Stegostoma tigrinum: one gene and its partner. The protein of the gene in region 2 purifies or fractionates together with the protein of the main gene of each other region. This does not show direct contact. Links are inferred from orthologs where the notes say so. Each region holds a gene or a part of one and is shown on either strand. Other genes may lie near its edges.

Region 1 (8,189 bases), on a different chromosome or scaffold from region 2:
ATGGAACGTAAAAGTAGGAAAGTTTTGCCTCTGCTCTCAGGACACTGGTGAGATTGCACCTGGAGTACCGGATACAATTGTGGCCTTACTTCAGGAGGGATATTCTAGGATGGGAAACAGCTCAGAAAAGATTTAATTGGATAATTTGTTGACAAGGAGAGTGTCTTATGAGGAAAGGCTGAGCAGGCTGGATGCTTACAGCTTGGTGCCTCAGAGGGGTGATCTTATGAAACATTAGATGCTGAATGGGCTTGGCTAGGTAACTGATTTTTGACAGCATCCCGTTGAAAGGAGGCTAGAATTGTTGGGGAGTGAGCACTGTTTCAAGATAAGGCGTCTCTCATTTAAGATGAGATCAATAAAGTTACCCCAGAGGCAGCTTTTAAAATTATCTCCCATGGAGCACAGTGGAGGCTATAACAAAGACAGAGTTACATTTTTGATCAACAACGAGGACTAGGGTTATAAAGGCAGAAAGTGGAGTTTAAGCCACAGACAGGATCGTCATGATGAATACAAAAGCTGAATGGCCTATTCCTGTTTCTTCTGATCTTATTCAGAATGTAATTAGCAGTGAAGCACATCACCATCAGGAGCAATGTCAACTTTCACAAAGAATGTTTTCAGTGTCATGCCTTCACATAAATTGCCCCAGGAATTGCCGCAATTTATTATGCATGTTGATGGCAGTTTGGAATGGCAGAAGCTTCGTAGGACCTGGACAGTCTCTGACAACATTAAAACAAAGGACTCCGAGTTGACAAAGACAGGGAAGGGCAAGGCTATGGAAGCAAGGTCATTGGTGACAATTGAGGCCTCTTCTGCAATACTGTGGATAGTTGTGTTCGCCCTGCTATAGGAAGGATATTATTAAATTACAGAGCATTCAGAAACGATTTACCAGGATTGTTGCTGAGAATGGAGGGTTTGAGTTATAAAAATAGACTGCGACTTCTTTCAATGGAGCATAGGAGGTTCGGGGGTAACCTTATAGAGATTTATAAAATTATGAGAGGCATAGATAAGGTGAATAGCAAAAGGCCTTTAGACTTTTGCTAGGGTGGGGGAATTCAAAACTAGGTGGCATATTTTTAAGGAGAGAGGACAAAGATTTAAAAAGAACGTGAGGGGGAACTTTTTTTATTTACACAGAGTAGTTCTTTGTGGAATGAACTGCCAGAGGAAGTGACGGGCGCAACATTTAAAATTAATTTGGACAAAAACATGAATAGGAATGGTCTGGCATGTTATGGGCCAAATGCAGGAAAGTGGGATTAGTTTGGTTTGGGAACATGGCTGGCATGAACTGGTTGGACTGAATGGTCTATTTCCATGCTGTATTACTGAGGATCCATGATTATTTGGCTGATCACTCGGCAAGCGAACTCGTTTTGCTAAAAGCAATTCTTGTGGTCAAACACACAGCAAGTTGATCAGAGAAACTCAGGTCCTACATCGCTGTTACCCCAGAAGCAGCTTTTAAAATTATCTCCCACAGAGCACAGTGGAGGCCATAACAAAGACAAATGCAGAGTTACACTGATTTTTGATCAACAAGGGGGACAGGGTTATAGAGTTTAAACCACAGACAGGATCATCATGATGAATACAAATGCTGAATGGCAATACCAAACACATGATAGAAATAAACAAAGCCTTCACAAACATCTAATATGTAAGATGGATACAACTCAGTGCTAGCAAAACAGATTTTTGCAAATTACGAAACAATCTCATCATTTAATGTTCACACAGGTTCATCACTGGCTCGACACCTAATCACCCTGATAAGACTATTTCTCAGTCCCTCAAAGCCTCTGCTTAATACTTCTATCTTTTCATATATTTTGGGAATAAACTCATCAACAGCTGTCAAATCACAGCATAACAATAACTTTAAACAGTTTTTATTTCACAACTAATCAAAAGAATCAAAACACAAACACTGATGTTCAAAAACTTCATTCCAAATACTTTTCCCATCAATTTGAGGCATAAAGGAAGGAGAGTTCACTTGAATAGAATAATTCTACAGTGCTAGAGATATAAACCAAATCAGTCTTTCACACTTAACAGTATTGATTTGAGGTACCCCAGCTCTCCAGACTGAGCTGTTATCAGGCCAGCCCTTACAGCAACAACAGGGAACTAATTCCTCAGGCAGAGATTACAAGGAAGGGCCTACTGTACGGCAGGAAGTGCAAAGCCAGGCGGTCGTCCACACAACCACATACACACACACACACACACACAAAAGGCATGTCACCCAGAGCACAAGGGAGAAAATAAAAACAATTACACAAAACACACAGGTTCACAAACAACATTTAAAATAAACTGGCTAGTAAAAAGACATCAAGAATGATCTACTTCCAGGTCAAATGCTGAAAAGTTGCAGAAGGCCACGAGAAGCTGCAGCAGCTTGCAGGCCGAGGCTGCTGGCACCATGGATGTCAGTCACCTTCTGGAGAGGGACAAGAAGATGGAACAGACACACTCCAAAGCCAGGGCCTCCCTTTTCCTCAACACCTCATCCCAAACCTCACTTCCCTGCTCCCACCAGCTCCTCACCTTGTACTTTCAACCCGTCACCCCAACTCTCTAACCTTCAACCCCTCTGCCTGTTTCCAATCCTCACTCCTCCTCCTCCCCTCAGCTCAGCTCCCTCACTCCCTCCTTCCAATTCTCAAGTCCTTCCACTCTCAAACCTCTCCAACCCTTCACCTCCAACCTTCAACCCTTTCTCTCCCGTCCTTCAATCCCTCTCTCTCCACTCCTTCAATCCCCTCTCCCTCCAACCCTCACACCTGCCTCACTCCAGGCCTTTCCTCCCCTTCCTCACCTGCTGATCGATGTCTCCCACTGCGAAGAACTTCACCTCCTTAAACAGATCCGGGGTGACCGCCGGCTCCTCACTGCGCGGTGTCTCCGACATGTCGGTGAGTGAGCCGGGGCTGCTGATGCTTGGGTACGGGTTATTCCCCAACCCCTTTCCCTACCTCTATCCCCGGAGATCCCACTCGATACATTCAGCAGCCCGCGCCTGCGCACCTCTCCTCCCCTGCCGGACGGGGAACCCCACCAGAACAATCCTAAAACAGCAAGGGGGATTCCCTAATCTATTTGAAATCACCCTGCACTCAAACCCGATATCCATCATTAAGCACAATTTGGTAGAATATATATTTAAATTAATCATCTACAGGTGCTTTTTTGTTCTTTATTTGTCTTTATTTTTCTGATAACTTGGGCATCTCCATTCCACGGACCCCTGTCTGAAGCGATGGTCGGGTCCGCGTTGCAATGGGCGGGGCCTGGGTGGAACAGGGGAGCGCGCGCGATTTCCAGGCGGCGATTGTTACAAATAACGCGGGAAATGTTGCCACTTTGCAAACATTGAGCTCTCTGGTTTCTGACAAACTGAAGGCTGAGGCATGAGGCATTTGGGGCAGGGTTTGTTCATTACCTGTAAATATGCCGACACCCAGTTACCAACACGAGGATCAGGCTTACCAAAATAAAACGAAACTGCTTGTGATGATACTTACCCCTACTCAAAATAAGATGAGCGTAACGTTATCTGGCCTCTGGAATCCCAAGCAAAGAGTTTGACTGCTTCCTTGGTCTGGCAGTTTCAAACAGACAGGGAGAGGGAAATATTTCTCCAGAGTAATTCTTTTTCCCAATCCTTAAAGGGTTTTCATGTTCTTTGACAAGGCAAGTTTTTTTTAAAGTTATGGTATATGCTTCCTGCAGTTGACTTCAAAATATTCATTTCATTTTTCTTAAAGTATTTTCATTCATGCGCGGTTTAATTAGTTGACGTTATTGTTTACAATATAGGAGTAGGCTGTCCGGCCCTTTGAGTCTGCTCCGCCATTCAATAAGATCATGGCTGAACTCTTGTAAGATAACAAAGTGTGGAGCTGGATGAACACAGCAGGCCAAGCAGCATCTCAGGAGCACAGAAGCTGACTTTTCGGTCCTAGACCATTCATCAGCGATCTTTTCATGGACTCAGATCTACTTACCCGCACTCTCACCGTATCCCTTAATTCCTCTATTGTTCAAAAAAAATCTACCGTAGCTTTAAAAATGTTTACTGAAGTAACGTCAACTACTTCATTGGGCAAGGAACTCCATAGATTAACAACCCTCTGGAAAATTTGCTTGCCTGTTTAGGGAATTAGCCAGGTAATTTTTCTTTGAGGTTTTAACAAGGTAAAGTTTATCCTGAAACCAACCTAAGTAAACACTAGAATAGGCCACCTGCACATCTGTCAATGTGATATACTGCGTCCACTGTTCCCGTTGTGGCCTCCTCTACATCGGGGAAACCAGACGGAAACTTGGGGACCGCTTTGCGGAACACCTGTGCTTTGTTCGCAACAAACAACTACACCTCCCAGTCATGAACCATTTCAATTCCCCCCCCCCCCCACCAACTCCTCGGACGACATGTCCATCCTGGGCCTCCTGCATTGCCACGATGATGCCACCTGAAAGATGCAGGAACAGCATCTCATATTTCGCTTGGGAACTCCTCAGCCCAAGGGTATCAATGTGGATTTTGCAAGCTTCAAAATCTCCCCTCCCCCGCCCACATGCCAAAACCAGCCCAGCTAGTCCCCAACTCTCTAACGATTCCTCCCACCTCAAGCCCCACCCCCATCCCCTACTCGCTAACCACATCCCGCCACCCTGACCTGTCCCTGGACTGACCTATCCCCCCAACTCCCCACCTACATTCACCTTCACTGGATCTAACCCCTCCTCTTTGTCCTGTCTGTCTCCTCTCACCCTATCTTCTCCTCTATCCATCTTCTACCCACCTCCCCCATCTCCCTATTTACTTCAGAATCCCCTTCCCCTCCCCCATTTCTGAAGAAGGGTTCAGGCCTGAAACGTCAAGCTTTCCAGCTCCTCTGATGCTGCTTGGCCTGCTGTGTTCATTCAGCTTCACACCTTGTTATCTCAGATTCTCCAGCATCCACAGTTCCTACTATCTCTAACTAGGATAGGCCACTTGGCTTCTTGAACCTCCTCCACCATCCAATAAGATTACAGCTGAACTCATAGCTGCACAATCCCTTCCAGCCACTGTCTCATCAAGAATCTGTCTGCCTCAACATTAAAAAATATTCAAGGACTTTGTAAGCAATGCCTTTTGTGGAACATACATCCATGACTCATCACTGGTGGCATGGTGGCTCAGTGGTTACCATTCCTGCCTCACAGCACCAGGGATCTGGATTCGATACCTACCTTGGGCGATTGTCTGTGTGGAGTTTTCAGATGGGTTTCCTGCGAGTGCTTTGGTTTCCTTCCACAGTCCAAAGATATGCAGGGGGAGGTGATGGCCAAGTGGCATTATGGCTAGACTGTTAATCCAGAGACCCAGGTAACATTCTGGGGACCCAGGTTCGAATCCCGCCATGGCAGATGGTGGATTTTGAATTCAATGAAATACCTGGAATTAAGAATCTAATGATGAATCCATTGTCAATTGTCGGCAAAACCCATCTGGTTCACTAATGCCCTTGAGGGAAGGAAGCTGCCATCCTTACTTGGTCTGGACTGCTCGTGACTCCAGACCCACAGCAATGTGGTTGACTCATAACTTACCTGTGGGCAATCAGGAATGGGCAATAAATGCTGCCAGGTCAGTGATACCCTCCTCCTGTTAATTAAAAAAAAAGGTTGTACAGATTGGCTGTGGCAAATGCAGGGTCTGGTTGGGATAACCTTTGGAGCGTTGGTGTGGACCAATGGGCTGAATGGCCTGGTTCCACACTGTAGAGATTCTGTGACTCTCACTCCTGTTAGGAAGAAAATTATCATCTTTGCTTAAAATGGGTAACTCCTCATTTTTCAGTGATGAATATTTCTTGATTCTTCCACAAGAGGATACACCTTTTCTACAACAACATTACCATAAGAAATAGGAACATTCGGTCATTCAGTCCTTCAATCCTGATCCACCAATCAATAGAATTAAGGCTGATCAAAAAAATCCTCACATCCACTTTCCTGCCTCTTCCCTATACGCCTTGATATCCCTATTTAGTTAAGAATCTATCTATCTAAGCTTTAAATATACACAAAGACTGCCCCCACAGTTCTCTGCAGTAAGGAGTTCCAAAGACTCTCACAACCCTCTGAGAAAGGAATGTCCTCCTCTTCTCAGTCCTAATCTTGCACCCCTTCATTCTGAGACAATGCCGTCTGGTTCTAGACTCCCCTATGAGGGAAACATCCTCTCAGCATTTATATTGTCAAGTCCCTTAGGAATCCAATATGTTTCAATGAGATCACCTGTCAGTCTTCTAATCTGCATGGGGAAGAGCCCCAACCTCTTTCACCTTTGCTCATCATACAATCCCTCCATTCCAGGGATCATCCTAGTGAATAGATAATAAAATGTGAGGCTGGATGAACACAGCAGGCCAAGCAGCATCTCAGGAGCACAAAAGCTGACGTTTCGGGCCTAGACCCTTCATCAGAGTCCTCCTGAGATGCTGCTTGGCCTGCTGTGTTCATCCAGCCTCACATTTTATTATCTTGGAATTCTCCAGCATCTGCAGTTCCCATTATGTCATCATCCTAGTGAACCTTCTCTGAGCTGCTTCCAATGATATCCTTCCTTAAATAAGGGGATGAACTCTGCTCACATTTTCCCAAATATGGTCTCACCAGCACCCTGTATGGTTGCAGTAAGACTTCCCCACTTTTATATTCCAATATCCTTGAAGTAAGGGCCAACATTCCATTGGCCTTCCTGATACCTGCTGCACCCTGTGTGCTGGCTTTCTGTGTGTTGTGCACAAGTCCTCCCGCAAGCCCCTTTGTTTTGCAACCAAGATCCCTTAGGATCTTATACTTTTTAATCAAAGTGTCATTTATTGACGAAACTCCACTGTCTATGAAACAGCAGCACAGATGCCAGTATCCCATCACCAAGCCACCCTTTCTTTACTTGTGCGCACTACACTGGCTGTGGCCAGCCAACTTGGAGTCAATCCCCCGAACTGAAGAGATTCTAAATCCCCTGGTTATATTAGTCAGCCAGGGCTTCCTGATTAGCCCAATCAAGGATCTCGAAGTCAACAAGATCCAACTGGTCCCAATCACTACAGTATACAAGAAACCCAAAGAACTGTAGATGCTGAAAATCAGGATCCAAAACAGAAATTGTTGGAAAAACTCAGTAGGTCTGGCATCATCTGTGGCGAGAAAGCGAAGTTAGCATTTTGTGTCCAGTGACTCTTTCTTCAAAACACCTAGTGGATTCAAGGTTTAGCCTGCAAAGTAACTTGACCAGTTGATCCAACAAGTGCACTCAAATTGTAAACACATAATGGCAGATCAAAAGTAGTTCTTGGTAAATCTGACCCAATCAGAGAAATAAGAAACATTCCCGCGTATGGCTAATAGTTTGATCAGCTGTAGTATTTTAAATGCTTTTGGTTCCTGAGCCATTCAATGTTTTAAGATGTAGATAGAATATTCCTTTCCCTTCTGGGAACATCGCTGTCAAAATTCAGTGTAGAATTTTCTGCCCACTTGCAGGGAGGTTGACCCAGTTTACAACTCAACAGAAGCTTAGCTGTGTGATAGAGGCAGAGGGGGAGAACAGATTGTGCTCAGTCCTGCCAGTAACATCTGCCACCCAAGTCCAAATACACATCAATGCATAAGTAAAAACTTGTTTCTTCACCCGGCTTCCACATAAATGCCATCAATGGGGAGGTAGTGGTATTATGGTCAGTCCCTGGCCGTGCAGTCAGATCCTGTGCGGACCAACTGACAGAGGTATTTACTGACATCTTCAACCTCTCCCTCCTACAAGCCACAGTCCTCACCTGCTTCAAGAAGACCACTATCATCCCCTTACCTAAGAAAACACAAGTAAGGTGCCTTAATGACTACTGCCCAGTGGCTCTGACCTCAATAATCACAAAGTGCTTTGAGAGGCTGGTCATGGCCCACATCAACACCAGTCTCCCAACCTGTCTAGATCCCTTGCAGTTTGCCTACCATCAAAGCAGGTCCACTGCAGATGCCATTTCTGTATCCCCACACTCATCCCTGGAATATGTGGACAACAAGGACACCTACATCAAACTCTTGCTCATCGACTACAGCTCTGCCTTCAACACCATTATCCCCTCCGGACTGATCTCAAAACT
Region 2 (7,618 bases):
AAGCAAAGATAGGAATATTTAAAAGAATTGTTTGGAATAAACATTGAATATTGTTAAAGCTATCAGTATGATATTGTGCATTGAGGAGCTATTACAAGTCTTTGGAAATATTAACAAACTTTTAAAAAAAATGAAGTATGCATGGAAATGCCAGCTATTTTTCAAAGATCCATCTAAACTCTGCAAAATTGAAAATGACAACTTTAAGATCTATGAGTAAACTCATATCATCTGAATCAAGCTTAGCCACAGCTACTTACAACAGGTTACTTATGAAGATTAGGATTACACATTGACCATTAAGTTCCAAATATTGGTCAACTAATTAAATGATGGATGACTAGTCTACCAGGAGAAGCTTATTTTGGAATTCACTAAACAACAATTTATTAACTATGATAAATTTGTATTGAACATGCAGCTAGTCAATTACGTAAAATTCTAACTGGTTTTATTAAAATAATTATTTCTCTCAGTTACTGTTAAGACAAGTACTCCATTCGGGGAGACAGATTCCAAGGGAGCATTTTGACACCATTCCTCACGTGCAAGTCTGAGCAATTATTTTCTTTTGGTTCAATGAGACGTAGGTGTAACTAACAAAGCCAGTGTTTACTGCTTTTTCCTAAATTATTCTCAAGTAATGGTAAGTCATTTTGAATTACTGCAATTAATCAATGTAAAGGTAGATAACAATGCTGTTAGGCTTTCAGGATGTTAACTCAGTGATAAAGAAGGAACTGCAGAGTATTTCCGAGTCAGGACGGCACATGATTTGGAAGGGAATATCTTTGCCAAAACGTATGACTAACAAAATCACAATACAGCTTCTATCCATTCCTCATCAGACATCCAAAGAACACACTTTCATGTAGACTCACTGGAAGGTTTGGATTTAGGACAATTTTCAAATATATACACAACGCCCCATCACCATCTCAACTCTGATTGTCAGTATGTTTGGTACGAATTCAAAGATCAAACTCAGAACCTGATTTGTGACTGACAAGGCAGTCTAAGAAACTTCATTACTGTTTCCTAATCCAGAACATCAATATTGGGGGAGTTTTGTTTGTCAACACACAAGACATTTAACTTTGCATCCACTACTGACTGGCTTATGTCTCAATATAATGAATCATATCTAAGGAGTCTCAAAATAAACTGCCAAACAGAATTTGCTTTCAAAGTCAAATGCTTTCTACTAGACTTTAATGCTGTCCAACCTACAAACCTGCCAAATTTTGACTCACCGCTATCATAGGCAGGTAACTGTTTCGTGCTTAGATTCACAACAGCAATTGTGTTGACAATTAAAATTATTTAAAACTAATGAGCTATATCATTGTACCATGTTGCAGTTGAAAGATGGCACTCAAAACCTCAATCTAGTGCGTGAAAAACTGGTGATACTTCCCAAACAATAAGCATATAATGATACACGAGTAACGTCTGAGTAAAATCAACATGCTACAAATATACACTGAAACAAAAACAGTTTATGTAAAATCTAATGGAAGCCATTACAACTCGATAGGAGCATATCAGACAGCATTACAACTCTTACGTAAACTCGGGTTTTACCCCCACCACCCGATTAAAAACATGAACATTGAATTCCAAACACGATGAAGCATTTCAAGTGTGTAATTAAAAACTGGAGAGACTGGACATGCCAAAAATTTTCAACATTAACAGACTTCACAACGTACATAAGAGGAAACGATAAGTTAATTCTGAAAACGTGTATTCTGCAGTATAAATAATTAGAATCCAGCAAATACCCATTTATATATACACAAAGTTTATCCGAAAAAAGTATGGCCCCGTCATCTGAGCAACTGCAACCGATAAACATGTATGTGACTTAAAAGATGTACGTTTAATGAAATGTCACAAATTCTGGATGTACGAGCCACAAATGTTTCACATTTAACAGCTTGGTGCTACAGGTTGAGTGAATCACTTTTGTATTTTTCTTATAAAAAGGAAAAACAATCCTGTCAGTAAGCGTTTTTTTCTGGACTTAATTTTCTTCACATTGCACAATGCCGATTACAGATCTGTTACTGACTAAATTGGCCCGAATTTTTTTTTGTTGTTGCCCTCCCCTACCAATCACTCACTATTTTTTCCTCTATCCTCCCTATCCCGCCATCTTGGAGAGAAGCAGCCATTTTTAACGCGGAGCGAAACTTCAACCCATACACAACACAAAACCCATAGTAGAGAGCCTGGAGGCTAGAGAGGCTGGGCGCACAGAGGGGCAAGCGAAAAATGTACCACATACAAAAACGAAAAGACATGTCCTACACATTTGACGATCAATGATTTGCAAACGTCTCTACTTGTCTGCACCGTTGCTTTTCAAGTTAGTATACATATTATAGAGGAAAATCCCTCATTAAGACAAGCCTACTCTCCGTGAAATGGGAACGCTTCCACAAATCTTGCTTTATTGATAGAGGTCAGATAACGTATGTCTCCTTCTTTACTATAAAAGTACCAAAATGCATAAGGACAAAACAAATAGCCTGATTTTTTTTCAGTTCTTACCTTTACTAACAAGGCCTTCGTTCTGGCGCCATCTTCATGAACCTTCAGAAATCCAAACACTCGGCTGTGCGATAGCGACAGACAGATGACATACGTTAAAATATGTTTTAATTTATGCATAAACACTAAAACTTAATCAAAAACACAACACAAAACTTGCACAATTTTCTAACCTATCGAGAGTTGCAATTGAGTCTTTCTCCTGGGGCGTCAGAGTTGGAAAGTCATCCTCAATTTCACTCGGTTTTCCCGCCGCCATTTTCTTTTCCTCATCACCGAATGATACTCCACAGGATTTCATGGGCTTACAGACAGAGATGAAAAAAAATGTTTGCAATTTATTTTTGCTATTCTTTATTATTGCCGTGGAGTTGTTTTTATTTTTTCACATCCTTCAAGATCTTGCTTCTTTTCTAACATGCACGTGCTGCAGTCCTTGTTTTGGGGGAGATAAAATTAAAACAGCATTGAAATAATATTAGCAAAAAAAAAGAAAAACTTCAAAGCAGAAAGTTGTAATTGTGTCACACCGAATCCACGCCGTAAGCGCACAAACAGCAAACCCACTCCCGGCCAATGGACAGCGGTAGCGCGACCCACGTGCCTTTGTGTTGATTTACGTCAGTCCGTGCTGCGGGATCGACAGCAGCGTGGACCCACCCCTTCCGGCTGCTGCGGGCCCCAATTGGCTGTCAAACTCAAACGCTTCGCCGCCCTTTCAGCGGGCGGCCGCATTCTGCGCCTTCCCACTGGACGGTGGTGACTGTCAATCGTCCAAATTCTCAAACACGTCAGCAAGGCTCGGGCTCGTCGCAGTATAAAATCAATGGTCGCTGCGCATAACTTTATTTTTGCTCCATTTTAGGTGGGTAGTGTAACTTTAGATGTATGGTGTCTGGGTAGTTTGGGTGTGTTAGCCAGGTTTTATTTTGATTATGCCCGTGATGGCAGCTATACCCGATTTTTTCTTTTAGTAACTTTTGAAGGCCCTGGTACCAAAGCAATTGTTGGTGACAAAAGCATTCCGTCTCCCGTTTCCTACCCCGCCTGCCCAGTCCTTGAAAGTAAATCGATGTTGGTTGCAGTTTGGTGACTTCTAAAGATTTCTACTATTCATACTTCCAACTGTTTACGTTAAACAACCACGAGAGATGGCGCTGTACAAAATGGGACCGCTACAAAGGGAGTCGCCTTGTAGAACTGGAGAATTTTTGATGTTTCTCCTCACCACCACCACCACCTTCCCCGCGCCTTCCTGTCGCTCCCAGCCTGTGTAGCGCCTGGCGATCGGCAATGTTCCCCTAAAATTTCATGTCTTTAATTCCTAGCAAAAGCTACCCTGTGGCTTGACAGTCAGATATACGTAAACCCAGAAGACTCCGATTCAGCCAAAGTGAAACGACCAAATGTATATTTCAAGACTGTAGTTTTATGCCGTTTTGTCTTCCTCTTTCCTCCCTAGGGTGGCAGGATAGAGATGGACTTGTTCTAGTAATTTCGTGGGCCTCAGCCTTAACTCGTCCTTGATATGCTCCATCTATTCATTCATGTGCAAATCAGTATAAAAGCATATTCTTTAAGATATTAAACATATTTTACCATGTCTTTCTTTTGATAAGTGTTATGAAGTAGTGTGTTTTTACTGTTTTCTTGCTTTCATTTTGGTATATGTACCACTTTTTATCATGCGAAGCTTGTACTTCTGGCTTGGGATACTCTATCTCCATAAAGTGCATCTAGATTTTAAATATTCTGTATTTATGGGTTTAGTTTTTGCAAAGTGCATTTGTGTTGTAATTTTGAGGCAGTTGGCACAGCTCAAAACAAATCTCTTCCAAAGGTTTCACCACACTAGCTGGCACTTCGTAGATAAATTGTGCGAATGCTCCTATTTTATTTGCCCTTGAAATAGCATATGGAAATTGGCAATATTCTGTAGGCAGTATCAGCAAACTTCAGACAGTCAAGCATTTATCTCCAGTTTTTTAGGACCTTGCTGTATGTGTATTGGCAGTTGTATTTTTCTACACTTATAAAATTAAAGACCAGAAATATTCATCAGATCAGTGGCTCCCAATGATGGAAAGAAACAGTACTTCAAAATTACTTCAATAATCCAAAGAACTGCAGATGTTGGAAATCCAAAATAAAATGGAGAAACCCAGCAGGGCTGGCAGCATCTGGAGAGAAAGCAGATTTAACATTTTGGTTAGCTGACTGTTCTTCAAAATTACCTAGGAATGTCAAAAGCAGTATAAAATACAATGGGAACAGGTAGCTAGAAATGCCTCAGTAGCCATCCACTAAAACATCAGGATAATAAAATGTGAGGCTGGATGAACACAGCAGGCCAAGCAGCATCTCAGGAGCACAAAAGCTGACGTTTCGGGCCTAGACCCGCTCTCTGATGAAGGGTCTAGGCCCGAAACGTCAGCTTTTGTGCTCCTGAGATGCTGCTTGGCCTGCTGTGTTCATCCAGCCTCACATTTTATTATCTTGGAATTCTCCAGCATCTGCAGTTCCCATTATCTCTGACACTAAAACATCAGGTTCAGGCAGTGGGCAGTGATTTAACTTTGCCGTCTGTATGGTTGTATCTTGCTGGGGTGTTCTTAGTGAGAGATATTTCGCCAGTAGACTTGATCTTCTGCCTGCTGTGGGAATGGGGAGCTGTCATCATTATCACCCTTCAATAGCATGTTCCAGACCTAAAAGTTCAATTGCCTAGATGGACAAGGGCAGTAGTTTTACAATCACTGAGACAAAATTCAGGGTTACCCTTGCTACTAGCTGAGTAAGTGTACCTGCACCACTGACTGAAAACTGCTCAGGACCACCCTATTGAGGGCGATTAGGGATTGGGCAATAAACGCTAGTCAATCCTGCAAAAGTCAAAAGATGTGCAGGCTAGGTGGGTGACCATGCTAAATTGCCCATAGTGTTCCAGGGTGTGTGGGTTATAGGGGGATGGGTCTTGGTGGGCTGCTGCATGGAGCAGTGTGGACTTGTTGGGCCAAAGGGCCTGTTTCCACATTGTAGGGAATCTAAAAGAATAAAACAAAGACTTAATTTGATTAGCTGTTTTCTTTGAAGTTTTTGCTGGTGTATCTCAGAAAGGGAACAATGTTTTACTTAATTGGAACATGTTTGGAGCTAAAAATGGGGCAGGACTTTGGAACTTAAATCTTTGAACAGGGACGTTTTAATGCAGGGAAGTATTTTATTTGTGGGATATGGATAACACTTGCTGGCCAGCATTTATTGCCTATCCCTAGTTGCCCTTGAGAGGGTGGTCTGCCTTCTCTAACCATTGCAGTCGTTGTGTTGCAGGTAGATCCATAATTCCCTTAGGAAGGTAATTCCAGGATTCTGACCCAGCAAGGAAGGAACAGCAATAAGTCAGGATGGTGAGTGGCTTGGATGGCATCTTCCTTTGAGATGGAAGAGGTCATAAGTTAAGAAGGGACTGTCGAAGGATCTTTTGTGGAATTCTGCAGTGCATCTTGTAGACAGTACACACTGCTGCTACTGAGCATTGGTGATGGAGGAGCAGATGCTTGTGAATGTGGTGTCAATCAAGCAGGTTGTTTTGTCCTGGATTACGTCAAGTTCGTGGTGTTGGAGCTGCACCCATCCAGTTAAGTGGGGAGTATCCGACAACATTCCTTCCTTGTGTCCTATAGATTGGGGGACAGGCAGTGGGGAACCAAAAGGTAAGTTACTGCTGCAGTATTCTTAGCCTCTGACCTGCTCGTCTAGCTGTTGTATTTATACTGGCAAATCCAGTTTCTGGTCAGTGCTGACCCCAGGATCAATGATGGTGGTTAGATTGTGCATTATTGGAGATGTCTTGACATTAGTGTGGCCTGAATGTTACTTGCCAGATGAAGGCCAGATCTGGTGGCATTTGAATAGTGACTGCTTCAGTATCTAAGGAGTTGCAAATGTACTGAACGTTGTGCAGTCATTGGCAAACATCCCCACTTCTGACCTTTCATTGGAGTAAGGGTCATTGATGAAGGCGTTGAAGATAGTTAGGCCTAGGACACAACCTTGAGGACTTCTTGCAGAGAAATCCTAAAGCTGAGGTAACTGAATTCAAGAAACATGACCAAAATAACCAAGTGCCAGATATGACTCTTCATATAAATGTTATAAGTTTTAAATTTGTCATACATTTAATAGTGCAGGTGTACGTTAGCTATTCCACACTGGAAACAGTCCATATTTGCCTCTTTTTAATCTTTTCCCCATTAGTATTGTTTAACCCTGTCCTGCTGATTAACTTTAACTTCTGCGTACATAGAGCTGCTGATAGGGTAACCACCCCAAGGAACGAATAGGAGCACTGTCAGATACAATTTGATACATGTTCCCTTGCATGCCTTGTAATTATTCTAGGCCAATGTTGTCGTTTGCTTCACTGACCTCAACCCTTTACCACTTTTCTATCATAGTCTGTGTCAAAGCCCAGTTTTACTTCAACTTGAGTAATGTTGGCCCATAATTAGCAGATTGTTTTTAGTTTGCGCTGTTTTTTGCTCCCATCAATCTTAATCCATCTCACTAGTAGTATGACAGGGAAGCAATGATCTGTTGGTATTATCACCAGACAATCAATGCAGAGACCCAGCCATTGTTCTGAGGACCTATGTTCAAATCCAGCCATGGCAGATTGTGGAATTTAAATTCATTAATAATCTGGAGTAAATAATCTAATGATGATCATGAAACCATTGCTGATTGTTGGAAAAACCATCTGGTTCACTAATGTTGAAGAGATGGAGACTGCAGTCCTTAACCTTTTCTGGCCTCCACGTGAATCCAAACTCAGCAACAACTTAGACTCTTAACTGCCTTCTGGGCAATTAGGAATGGGTAATAAATGTTGGTCCAGCCAGTGATGTCCACATCCCATGAATGAATTTTTAAAAATATCATCAGGCTTCTTTCCTGAAGTTTAATACTGTATGTTATTTCAGTGTCTTTCCCAATTAGAAGCAAAAACTAATAGTACAATCACTGCTGTAGTAAGTAAATCAAATATTTTAGTTGAAGTCCT

What was found.
Region 1: the proteins of kdm6a (region 2) and paxip1 purify together in Homo sapiens (affinity purification with mass spectrometry; 6 studies listed by BioGRID and IntAct, with this or other methods). This does not show direct contact. The link is inferred for Stegostoma tigrinum from reciprocal best matches to the Homo sapiens genes KDM6A and PAXIP1.

Annotation. Positions count from the first base shown.
Region 1 is NC_081355.1:142,821,267-142,829,455, reverse strand, and holds the start of paxip1 (PAX-interacting protein 1), read right to left. Parts: upstream 3,049-8,189; 5' UTR 2,936-3,048; coding exon 2,843-2,935; intron 1-2,842.
Region 2 is NC_081365.1:42,761,807-42,769,424, forward strand, and holds the start of kdm6a (lysine-specific demethylase 6A), read right to left. Parts: upstream 3,136-7,618; 5' UTR 2,858-3,135; coding exon 2,730-2,857; intron 2,621-2,729; coding exon 2,557-2,620; intron 1-2,556. UniProt on the Homo sapiens protein: Histone demethylase that specifically demethylates 'Lys-27' of histone H3, thereby playing a central role in histone code. Demethylates trimethylated and dimethylated but not monomethylated H3 'Lys-27'.